Arabidopsis thaliana: one gene and its partner. The protein of the gene in region 1 interacts with the protein of each later gene in a pairwise test. Each region holds a gene or a part of one and is shown on either strand. Other genes may lie near its edges.

Evidence for each region. The genes of interacting proteins can lie anywhere in the genome.
Region 2: the proteins of AT1G73210 (region 1) and AT3G56320 interact in a two-hybrid assay, tested with the Arabidopsis thaliana proteins (one large-scale study listed by BioGRID).

The regions. Positions count from the first base shown.
Region 1 is NC_003070.9:27,526,953-27,533,004, reverse strand, and holds AT1G73210 (hypothetical protein (DUF789)), read left to right. Parts: upstream 1-2,052; 5' UTR 2,053-2,551; coding exon 2,552-2,647; intron 2,648-3,370; coding exon 3,371-3,555; intron 3,556-3,660; coding exon 3,661-3,895; intron 3,896-3,980; coding exon 3,981-4,066; intron 4,067-4,153; coding exon 4,154-4,245; intron 4,246-4,326; coding exon 4,327-4,577; 3' UTR 4,578-4,951; exon of another isoform or gene 4,952-5,029; intron 5,030-5,245; 3' UTR 5,246-5,253; downstream 5,254-6,052.
Region 2 is NC_003074.8:20,885,394-20,891,883, reverse strand, and holds AT3G56320 (PAP/OAS1 substrate-binding domain superfamily), read left to right. Parts: upstream 1-2,080; 5' UTR 2,081-2,388; intron 2,389-2,581; exon of another isoform or gene 2,582-2,665; 5' UTR 2,666-2,734; exon of another isoform or gene 2,735-2,930; intron 2,931-3,176; 5' UTR 3,177-3,259; coding exon 3,260-3,505; intron 3,506-3,589; coding exon 3,590-3,769; intron 3,770-3,858; coding exon 3,859-3,951; intron 3,952-4,056; coding exon 4,057-4,239; intron 4,240-4,317; coding exon 4,318-4,420; intron 4,421-4,519; coding exon 4,520-4,702; intron 4,703-4,777; coding exon 4,778-5,259; intron 5,260-5,349; coding exon 5,350-5,691; 3' UTR 5,692-5,990; downstream 5,991-6,490. Other genes in the region: AT3G56330 (N2,N2-dimethylguanosine tRNA methyltransferase), read right to left, coding at 1-55, 149-211, 300-600, 694-894, 1,003-1,634; AT3G56310 (Melibiase family protein), read right to left, coding at 6,139-6,390, 6,485-6,490.

The sequences.
Region 1 (6,052 bases):
AAGTAACAAACCACTTTCCCCACGTGTTAAAACAAACAATATCATTTTCAGATTGTTTTTTCCTTTCTTTGACATCTCAATATAATTTAAATCTTTTATAGGAAAATGCTCTTTCACAAAAAACAAAAGAAATTGCTGAGAGCTTTCTAGAATCCAACTTGATCATTTACACTTTTTATTAGATGCTATAGCATCTATTTTAGAGACTATGTAGTGAGTTAATTAATCATTTCAATGTCCACTATCCATTTTCTTACACTAATCTATACCACACATGACTCCATTTACCTCGTCGGTAGAATTTTTTAATACAGTTTCAGTAATTGCTAATCACAAATGAAAAAAATACTTAGAACATTGGAAATTAGTAAGAATACAATTGATTTTGAATGAAAGAATCAGCCTCGAGCGTGATTTAGAAAAATAAAATAATTGATAAGATTTTGAATAATTAAACTGGGAAAAAAAGAAGAAAAAGAAGACAGTGTAAAGAAAGAAAGAAAAATTGAAAAGAATAAAAAAGAAGAAGCAAAACGCGAGAGACCGACGCAGTTTTGGCAAACACGCGTCTGTCTAGCAGTAAACGCACTGCTCCGACACAACACTCTTCAGTGTTCGCATACTTCGCTCTTCTTATTTCACTCTCACATTCTCACATTCTTAAAAAATTATTTATTGTACTTGTGTTATAATTATCTTCCTTCTGACTTTTTTTTAGTCTGATAATTAAGTTTACGTCGGTATTGACTCCTAGTCTCCTATGCTGGATTAAATATGACGTCTATTACAAAAACCTTCAACAGTTCAAATCAAGATTGAAACACTTTCTCATAGCAATTTACCTTTTGCTATCCCAATTTTGCAAGTTTTGACTTTCAGCATATTAGCCGAAAACAAATGTTGCAGTCTTGCAGATGAGATATAGATATATATAGCTAAATCAGGTATACTTAATTCTCAGAAATATGTAATATCTTGGTATTAAGTATTCACTCTGTAATTTCCTGTTAATGAATCAATTTAACGACAAAATAAACATGACGGATATTAGTTATTTTCTCATTTCAAAGTAAATTATTTTAGAAAATAATGTTTTATTAGTTCCTCAAAACAAAAACTAGTGATGAAATAGTAAAATCACAATTCCAAAAAAAATGCTTAAATTATTATTTATCGACTGAGAATAAGAACATTTTTCTTTGTTAGAGCTCTAAAAACTATATAATTTGCTATATACTATATATATATATATATATATATTTTTAAAACATATATAATTTGCTATCCTATAAGATATTCTTTGTTTGTGAGAAAAACTAGAAATATATATATATATATTTTTTAAAATAGAGATATATTACCTATAAAAGACATGTAATATCTCTCATAAAATATCTACATAAACTAACCAGTAATCAGCATTAAACAACTCTTTCCGTTTATTATATTTGTGTCTTTACAGTTTCTTAAACCATTATATTAAAAAAAAACATTAAATATATTACGTCAATAACAAAACTTACGAAAAAAAACAAAATCTTATTAATGGCTGTTTTCGAAAAGCTTTATCACTCACCGCACAATTTTAAAAGGGTTTATTTTAGTTGTTATGCCTAACGTCCTCGTGATCTCCAAAATTTCATTTAATCCATATTTAGCTAATTATCTTCTTAGATAAATACATAATGCAAAAAAAAGGTCATCAACACATTCGATGTATAAATAACCAATTTAATTTTTATTTGCAATATGACTAGATTTTTGGTGTACTTGTAAATTTGTAATGACGTAATCATGTCCACATTTTCTAATTTTTTTTTTCTTTGCTATCTATATAAATATACAATTATGATTATTATGTAATAATAAATATCGCAATCCACTCTTTTTTAATTCAGCTAGATACGAGTTGTCTTTTTTTATTAATTATATAATTTATTTATTTGTGTTAGAAAGAAACAAAAGTCTTCAGTTTCATACTTGAGGGGGGTTTTGGTTTATTAAAAAATTGGAAATTAATAACATAATAAATCAAATAAAAAAAGGATCAGAGTGAGTGAAAGAGAAAGAGAAAGAGAAGAAGCGTTTCGTCCTCTTCGTTTCCTTCTTCCATTAATACAAAGCAAATCCTACTCTGAAAGCTTCTTTATTCAACCTCTCTACTTCAGTTTCTCTGTCCCCATTTTTCATCTGAGAGTTAAAACTGTAACCTCAAAATCTGAGATAAAGTCAAAAAAAAAACCCCAGTTTATGATTCTCATTTTCTCTTTATAATCGAAAGCTTCGATTTTTAACAAAACCCAGAATCTGTGTTCTTGTTTTTTTTTTTTTTTGGTGAGAGTTATCTTTTTTTTTTTTGGAATATTGGGTGAGAATCTGAGTAATGGGATTTACATAAAAAGATTCTATGTAAATACTAAAATAATCTGGAAATTATTAAATTTCCAAACTTTGTGTTCCATTTTGTGGACTCAAATTTGTTTATAAAGATCTCAAATCAGAGAGATTGAGACGACCAAGAACAAGCAGAAGAAGAAGAAGAATTGAGAGAATGTGGTGGTGGTCTTCTTCAACTAAAGGTCGTTCGAATCTGGAGAGGTTTCTTTTAGGAATCACTCCTAAGCCTCCTTCCTTCTCTCTTCCTCAGGTAATTTTTTTTTTTTTAATTCTTCATTCTCTTAGACTAATCCTTAATTTGGGGGTAAATTAAGGTCTTAAGCCTCAACTAATCAAATTTTAAAAAACTATTTTAATCGATTGTCTCTCCCCACAAATCTCTCGTCTCTAATCAGCAGATTTTGTCCTAAAGGTCTTATTTTTAATCAAGGGTGATGTATCAGACAACCTAGAACTTGTAATAGTTTAATGATTTGGTGTGAGTTTTCAGATGAGATTTGGGCTATAGAGACAATAATTGCATGGTCCATCAAGGAGAAAAATTATCTATGAAATCTATATCCAATTTAAATGGTGTCACATCAGTTTATGGATTCTATAACACCACGTGGAAACGTGCGACAGAATTGCTTTACTCAACTATTTTTTATATTACTATTATATTCAGTAATCCATTAGCTAAGTACTGAGTTTTGGTTGAATCTTCTTGGTTGCTTTGGTATATCCTCTGGTTCTGTATCATTACAAGGTTGTCTTATTCAGTAATCTTGGTTTATATCTCTGATTATGGATTAAGAGCTCAATACATGTTGGTCTAATAACCTAAAGATCATGTTGTTGCATTTACATTTTGGGGGTAATTAGGAGTTAATGATAGCTAGATTATCAGCTAAACATTGGCTTTCAGTGTGCTGCTTTGTAGTGTGTTAGTTTCAGAGCTTTGTGAGTTGATGATATTAACAATTTGTGGCAGGAACAGGGAAAGGAGGAGATTGAGTATTTCAGGCTTGGTGATCTCTGGGATTGTTATGATGAGATGAGTGCGTATGGCTTTGGCACACAGGTTGATTTAAACAATGGCGAAACCGTTATGCAGTACTACGTCCCGTACCTATCCGCTATCCAAATCCACACTAACAAACCCGCCTTGCTTTCCAGGTTACGTTTCCCACTTGATTCTGTGACATTTTAGTCTGTTGTGATGAAAGTTTGACTATGGAAGTATTAGAACATCTCTTGATGGTTTGTTCTTGGGTGTTGCAGGAACCAGAATGAGGTGGCTGAATCTGAGAGTAGCGAGGGTTGGAGCGATAGTGAGAGTGAAAAGTTGTTGTCAAGGTCAATGAGCAATGATTCAAGCAAAACATGGGATGCTGTCTCTGAAGATTCGGTTTTCGATCCGGATGGTTCACCGTTGCTGAAAGATAGACTTGGTAACCTTGACTTTAAGTACATTGAAAGAGATCCTCCGCACAAGCGGATTCCCTTAACCGACAAGGTTCTCTTCTCTCCTTTCATTTTCATTTCTTAGTAACCTCATTCTCAGTTTTGAAACGAAAGTAACGTTCTTGGTTCTTGTTCAGATAAACGTATTGGTGGAGAAATATCCGGGACTCATGACCTTAAGGAGTGTCGACATGTCTCCTGCAAGTTGGATGGCTGTTGCGTGGTAAGTAGTTCTTTGTTAAGTTAACAAAACCCTTCCTGTTTGGTTAACTGCTAGAAATAGTGATTGAGTGATGGTTTGATGAATTAGGTACCCGATATACCACATCCCAACCTGCAGGAACGAGAAAGATTTGACGACAGGCTTCCTAACTTATCATACTCTATCTTCGTCTTTTCAAGGTACGTATGATCACTTCGAATTCATTGCTCAGTAACAAGCACCATTTTCTGGTTTTATTAATGGTGTTAAAAATGCTGCAGATAATGTGGTGGAAGGAGATCAAAGCAACAACAATGAAGAAACAGAGTTTTGTGAAGATTCCGTAATAAACAAGAGAATGCCATTGCCTCCGTTTGGTGTAACAACTTACAAAATGCAAGGAGATCTTTGGGGGAAGACGGGGTTTGACCAGGACCGGTTGCTTTATCTTCAAAGCGCTGCGGATTCATGGCTGAAACAGCTCAATGTTGATCACCATGACTATAACTTCTTCCTTAACTCGAGCTTCTAAAGATCAATCGGGTCGTTCGTATGTTTATCCTTCTCCAAACCTTAAACAAAAAAAAAAGACCTCATAACCCTTTTTCTTTGTTGTTTTCAAGCTCCTTTTGTTTCTCTGTGTTTTTTGTTCTTTTTGTTTTTGTCTGGCTCGTTGTGTTGTTTTAGGTAGCAACCGCCATCGCGGAGTTTTTTCTCCTTTTGCAAGCCAATCATGGAAGTTTCTAAGAAGAAAACAGAGCTTTTTTTTCTTTTTTTTTAACGGTGTTGAGAAAACAAGAAAGTTGTTTTCTTTTCTTGGGTGAGAGATCATGTAAATTGACCTTGAACAGAGGACTCTGTTTTGTACTTTTCTGTCTAAAATATATAAAAAAATCTGTCTTTCTTGTATGTCGGTATGAGTGGAAGAAGAAGACTGTTTTTGATAGATTTGATATGTCCTTTCGTTTCTTTTCAAGATTTTTTAGTGTTGAATATGATGACGATGTTGTCATACAATATTTACTTAGTAACAGTTGTTGCATACTTTTTTTTCTATGTTCTTTATAATTTAATTTAAATTGTTTCTATGTTCTTTTCGAAGCTTAAAAGAATTGTGCAATCCCAAACTGAAACAGTCAAACTTACTAGTTCAACAAAATTGTTTTGCTATATCGGGCTGATATTTACTGTCGAACACAGGTAAAAAAGTATTTATTTTATTTTTTTGTTGAACACAGGTAGGTATATGCCTACATGGTATACAAATAATATAGACAGTTTCATAACATTTACAATTGTAACATACTGTTTTTACAATTTTTGTTGTCGTTTTCTTATTTATCGTATTAAAATTGATCTTATCCTGAATTTTAAAATTTAGATAACTGACAAACGAAAAGATTAATGCTAATTGTATATGAAATGAAATGTATTGTTGTACATTTTAAATTATATAGACAATTTAATGATATTTACAATCACAACCGATCGTTTTGTCAATTTTTGTTGTCGTTGTATTATTTATTGCATTTATATCGATCGAACCCTAAATTTTACATGTAATTCACTTACAATCAAAAATAATTAATGCTAACTTTATATGAAATTACATGTAGTAAATTTAAAATTATATTGACAATTTCTTCTTTGCATTTTTGTTGGCATTTTCTTATTTATTGCATTCAAATCGATTAAACCCTGAAATTTAACATGTAGATCATTAACAATCAAACATAATTAATGGTAACATTAACATGTAGTAAATTTAAAATACAATACACAATATTTTGATATAATTTTGAGTTTAACCAAATTATCCAACCTATAAAAACACATGCAATGGATTCTTGAAATCTTTATGTCTTTAGCGATTTGAAATGAATTTATGTAGATTTTCATGTGTACACACAATAAGTAATAAAATCTAAATTATCATCTACTTAAAATAAAAACATAAAATTTAATCATAAAATCAATACTAAATATATCAAATCAGTAAACAAAAAA
Region 2 (6,490 bases), on another chromosome or scaffold:
AATCTGTTTTAAGAGCATTGGGAATAATGTGAGATCTGCTAGCAGCGTAACCCTCCTGCAAAAATCCAAGGAGCAGAGCTTTTTAACTTTGTACCTTCAGATCAGTTTCTTCAGAGATCAAAGCTGTGAGAATCTAACTACTATTTACCTTAACTAGTGCACTCATCATCTTCTTCAACGGAGGTGAGTTCATCTTCGCACGGCTCGCCATCTAATCACGAAAACAAATCTTTTATCATGTAATGTGAATGAAATGCGTCTATCTTATCAATGAAATTAAAATCATGGTTTTAGAGGACCTCATCCATTTTTGTGTATCCAGGTGGTAGTCTGGGATCACTTTCTTCAATCATTATACTGAGAAGCTTGTCCAGATCCATGCCAGTGCCTTCACTGACCCATCCCCATTCCTTTGCCAATTCCAGCATTTCCGTAACATAGGATGCATCATGAAGCGGTCCGAGCCACATTGGTCCTGACACAACCAGTGAAGAAGAAGCCTTTGTATCACTGCAGGGACATCCCATCAAACCAAGTTCATCGAATCTCAATGTATGAGAATGGCCACATAGATTACAGTGCGTGACAAAACCATAGTTCCTACAGTTAAAAGACACAAAACAACTCCAATTAGAAACGCAACATAACCAAAACTCAATTCCTTTCGAGTCAAATTCTAAATGTAGAAACAACCTGTCCTCATGTAGCTTCCCACGGTGAACCCTCAGCATGACTCTAAACACAGGTCCGTGATAAGAATAGTACGAGAAAAGAGGCGTAACATGATAACCAAGCAGAGCAGCTTCTCTCACTGCTCCACCTATAAGCATCCGCAGCCCAATCTCATTCCCAAACGGCATTGGTCGAATAAATGCTCCATAAGCTGCTAAAGAACTACACCAAAACAAACCAAGAAATTTTTCAACTTTCAATCTCCTAGTCCCTAAATCATATCATGATTCCTAAAATACCACAAAGACTAATGGTATTGCTTTCACTCACTTATAAGGTCTGTGACCACCAGAAGAGTAACCATCAGTCGACGTCAAGTAAAGCAAACCACCCAATCTCAATGCATTAAACGCATCTCTCAAAAACGAAGAATCACTTCCAAACGAATCAATATCAATCATATCGAAGAAATCCGCAACCATATATCTCTCAATCATCGCTTTATTAGCCAACATATGAGTCACAACCCATCTCCTCTCATCTCCAGTACCTCTCTCTACTTTACTCAAATTATCCGTAATCACTCTCCGATTATCATCATTTGCGTCGTTCGCCATCACGAAATCAGCTTCAGCTTCCACAAGATAACGAAGCGACCTAATTCCACATCCGCACATTGCGTCGAGTACCCGTAAGCTTCCATTAGATCTCTTGTATAGCGTCGCTGACAAAACACCGAGGTCTCGTCCTCTAGCGCTTTCATGGCGGAAAAATGTCTCTCCCGTTTCAAATTCGAGATTCCTCTCAATTTGAACCTCGGATTTCACTAAAATTCGATCAAAACTACATTTCAAGCTCTTGAATCGACATGAATCTGGAGATTTACATTTAGGGTTTTGCGATTTGTGCACAGTGAAGAAGGAAGAAGAAGATAGGGTTTTAGGAGAGAGAGTCAACAACATAGCGGGAAAAAAAAAATCTGATTGTTTTGCTTGATTTTTTTTTTTAATCGTCTATCTAAATTAGTCCGTCCGATATTATGCCACGTGTACGGAAGAGATAAAAACCTCGTATTAGTAGGCCACGTCGTCAATCTTATGATTAGTTGGGTCCCACTTGTGTAATCGTCTATACTCGAGTCCACCTAAAGATACGATACACTTTTTTCCCTTTCATGGAATTGAGTTTCTACTGTTTCTGGAATTCTGGGTTTTGGAATTTGGAGAAATTAGGGTTTTTGTTGAATCATTCAAAAACATTGACCATGAAGATCATAGAGACTAAGAGTCTCCAACAAGAATGAAGAAAATCTATTTTTTTTCTTGGGTTGAAAATTATTTGAGAGGAGCAGGTGAAGTTAATTTTTTTCTCATTGATACAAAAATGGCAGATTGTTTTAGAGTCTCCACTATTATGAACCTTCCATAATTTTTTATTTTATTTTTGCTTATATTATCCCTTAATTTTTTGTCTTGGTGATAATTCTCTTTCTCCCCTCAATTAAAAAAAAGTTTATAGTATCGGTTTCTCTTCTCCTGATCAATGAATACAAATCGGTATTCGTAAACAATCCCTTCCGTTTCATTTTACTGACTCATATCTGTTTTTATCTGGGTTTTTATTTCTTTTCCCCTTTGTGTTTCAAAAAAGTTTTTGGTGTAACGTTTATTATCCATAAGATCCAAAAAAAACTAAAGCTGGAAATTTTGTTTCGAGGTGAGATAATCTTTGCTTAATCTTTAGGAATCCAATGAATACAAGCTTAATTTGCCTCTTAATCCTCGTTATCGGAGAAAGCAAAATGATGTTTCGTGTGAATCTCGTTTTTTGATTTTTGGGGTTTTCTCTTTTGTCTTAATCCATCTTCGTGGTCCTTGTGAAGCTTAAAGATGAAAACCAAAATGTCATATTTTTTTTCGTGTGAAAATGTCGATTCGTTACAAATCTTAAACCCTGTTCCAAGTTTTGATTTTTTTTGTTTGTTTGTTAGCAGGAATTAAAGCTTCTTGAATATTCAAAGATTAGCCCAAAGAATCTCTGGACAACTGGTCTAAAACCGCAGGTACGCCTTTCACTACTTAAACCTCTCAATTTTGTCAACAAAAAAAAATGATTTTGGAAGAGACAGAGCTGAGACTTCTGAGCTAATAGTCATTTTTTCCTAAGGTATAATCATCACTCACGCAGGATAGTTTAGCTGTTTTGTTTTGTTTTCCTTTATAAATATTCGATTTTGCTCTGAGAAGCTAAACATTAGGGTACCTACCTAACACTGAATTCACTATTGGCATGCTCTGTTTCATTTTTTTATGTCTCTTGCTTAGGATGTAATCTCACTCACTCTCTGGATTAGCCTCGATTGTTCTTAATCAAATTTGGGAGCTCTAGTTATTAGACAATCAACTTTTACCTTGACTTCATTTTTTTCTTTTTCTCTGTCTAATGTGATGACAAAAAGGCCAATTTGAAATATTTTGTAATTCTGTTTGTTCTGTTGTTTGTAGATATCATAATTATATAAGGGGCTCATTGAGTTGTTGAGGATTCCTGTGTTATCACTCTGATGTTAGTTTGAAGTTATGCGCACATGGGTGAAATTCAAGAAAGATTGTCAGTTTCATCATCTTCGTCTTCTTCATCATCCTCATTGTCACTATCAACGGCACTACCTAAAGGAGATTCATTGCCGATAGATGCAGATTCTTGGATGATTGCAGAGGAGAGAGCTCATGAGATACTTTGCACTATCCAACCTGCCCTTGTTTCAGACAGAAGTAGGAATGAGATCATTGATTATGTACGAACTCTTATCATGAGTCATGAGGGAATTGAGGTTAGAAACTCCGCTTCTCTTTGCTGACATGTTAAAGATTTATGCTGTTTTGTTAACTTTCTATGGGAACTTGTTTATCTACAGGTCTTTTCATTTGGTTCAGTGCCACTAAAAACCTATCTCCCGGACGGGGATATCGATCTGACTGTCCTAACTAAGCAAAATATGGATGACGATTTTTATGGACAATTGTGCAGTAGGCTTCAGAATGAAGAAAGAGAATCTGAATTCCATGCAACAGATGTTCAGTTTATCCCTGCACAGGTCTCTTTGTTTATTTACTTTTTGGTTTCGTTTTTGTATTTTCTTGGTTGCCCAAATTTTCCTTAAGAAAGTTTGCTGATATATGATAGGTCAAGGTCATAAAATGCAATATCAGGAACATTGCTGTTGATATCTCTTTTAATCAAACGGCAGGTCTCTGTGCTTTATGTTTTCTGGAGCAGGTACTATCAGCTATTCAAAATCAGGCTCCAGAGGTTTACTAAACAGATTATTGCCTAGCTTTGATTCTTAGTTGTTGGTTAAACTCTGGTTTTATGTATTCTCAGGTTGACCAACTCTTTGGGAGAGATCATCTTTTCAAGCGTAGCATCATCCTTGTCAAAGCTTGGTGCTATTACGAGAGTCGAATTCTTGGTGCTAACACTGGATTGATCTCAACATATGCATTGGCAGTACTAGTTTTGTACATCATCAACCTGTTTCATTCATCTTTATCTGGCCCTTTAGCGGTAATCACTCTTTTTCTGAACCTTCAGCATCCTCTACATATATGCAAAAGATGAGAATATAGCATTGTCTTTCAACAGGTTCTGTATAAGTTCTTGGATTACTATGGTTCATTTGATTGGAACAACTACTGTATCAGTGTCAATGGTCCTGTGCCAATATCGTCCCTTCCAGAACTTACAGGTAAGGATGATGCCAAAAATCACAGATACTTCTCTTCGTGGCATTTTCTTGGCGCTATTTGACGTTTTAATTTGGTTCTTTCTCTTTCTATCTTTCCAGCAGCATCTCCAGAAAATGGGCATGAGTTATTACTTGACGAGAAGTTTTTAAGAAACTGTGTAGAGTTATATTCTGCTCCAACTAAAGCTGTTGACTCAAATGGTCTTGAGTTTCCTATCAAACATCTCAACATAGTTGATCCTCTAAAATACAGCAACAACCTCGGCAAAAGTGTTACACAAGGTACTCTATTGATAAAAGTTATACAACCAATATAGCAGTTGTCAAATATTAATTATTTTAAAAACATTTTGTTAGGAAATGTCCAACGAATAAGACATGCTTTTACACTTGGAGCTCGAAAGCTAAGAGATGTTCTTTCACTACCTGGTGACACCATGGGATGGAGATTGGAGAAGTTCTTTCGTAACTCTTTGGAGAGAAATGGTAAGGGACAAAGGCAAGATGTGAATGATCCCGTTACTGCTTTCGGTACTGGAAGATCAGAATTATCTGAACTTAGTGGAGATTTCGATAGTTCCTTTGGAAGACTTGTGTATGGGCAAATGTATCATGGGCATAGCTTACCTGGAACATTTCAGCATGGCTATATCCCGGTTAGTTCTCACCTGAGTGGTTGGGATATTGTTCGTCACCTTGTGACTTACCGAAAGAACGAGTTCCATCTTAGAAGTCTCAATGTATCAACCTCTATGCAGCCTTTTCCTTTGCATTCTTTACCTAATGGCTGTCAAAACATGAGAAAGACGAGAGGAACCGGCACTTATATTCCTGACATGGTATGCGATTAACCCCTTTGACGGACATTTTGGCTTAAAAATTAACTTATTGCTGCAAGCTTCTGAATTGCTTCTCAATGGTTGTTGCAGAGTCAACAGGTATACTCTGACAGGTTCAGAGAATCAGGTACTGGAACCTCATCAACGAATCATTTAGAAGCTTCCTCTGAGGCAATAGACAATGATGGAGCCAGTAGTTGCTGCAATCTTTCCGGTGAAGTGTCTACTTCTTGTACCAGTAACAAAGGAGAAGAATGTGTGAGACCAGAGAGTGTGCTGAAATCTCAAAGATCTGCGAATTTGGAGCTTGATGACAATTGCCAATTTCCACCACCAGAAAACCTAGTAGAACCTAGAACTTCAAGCACATTGGTATTGGAAAATGGCAAAGAAGAGAGTATCAGATCCTCCCAAACCATGAACGGCTCTTGACTTTTAGTGACTGTGACCGAAGCTTTGGTTGTTATCTTGACACCTTCAGGATTACTAGGTTCTCTTAACCACATGGACAAACTCTATTTAGTATTCAAAACTCTATATAGGATTCAAAAGATCCATCAGGAACTTGTTTTGACCAATGTTTCATTAGAGATCTCTTCTTCATTGTTGGTAGGTCAGAATATACAAAAGTGGTATAGATTAAGAGTTGATTTGGCATTTGTCTTTTCTTTGGAATCAAGATCCTTCAGACTTTTTATCTAAATTTTTATATGAGATTCAGTTTTACTTCTTGTCACTTCTGGCAATTTGTTTAGAGAGTGACAAACATTTAAAGTTGTCCGGGTAACAACAGGTTTCACGTTTTACAAGATACACGAGTATACAGAAACACAAAGGCAATCTCTGTTCTTTGGGATTTGAATGCCTCACAATAAAGAACTATACATCAGAGTGTGATACTGTCTGGGGAGTGAGAACGTACATATGACAGTCGTGTGCGTCAACTTGAGCTTCAAAGGAGCCAGAAGTATTCTCTGTTACATCTTTGTGCTGCCACAAATCTCTTACTGAAACGCTAATGGTAGATTCAAGACCGATCATATCCCATGATGCTGTAATAGTTGCTGGCTCAGAGCAACGGTTCCAGAGAGCAACTACCATACGGTCACCAGATAAAGGTCCTGACCACACCTGCAATGAAACAGTTATCACCAATTTGAGTCCTTGAGTTTGTTTTTTCTGCTTTCTCTATGAGTTTGATAATTCTGTGACTCCCAATTCATACCTGCTG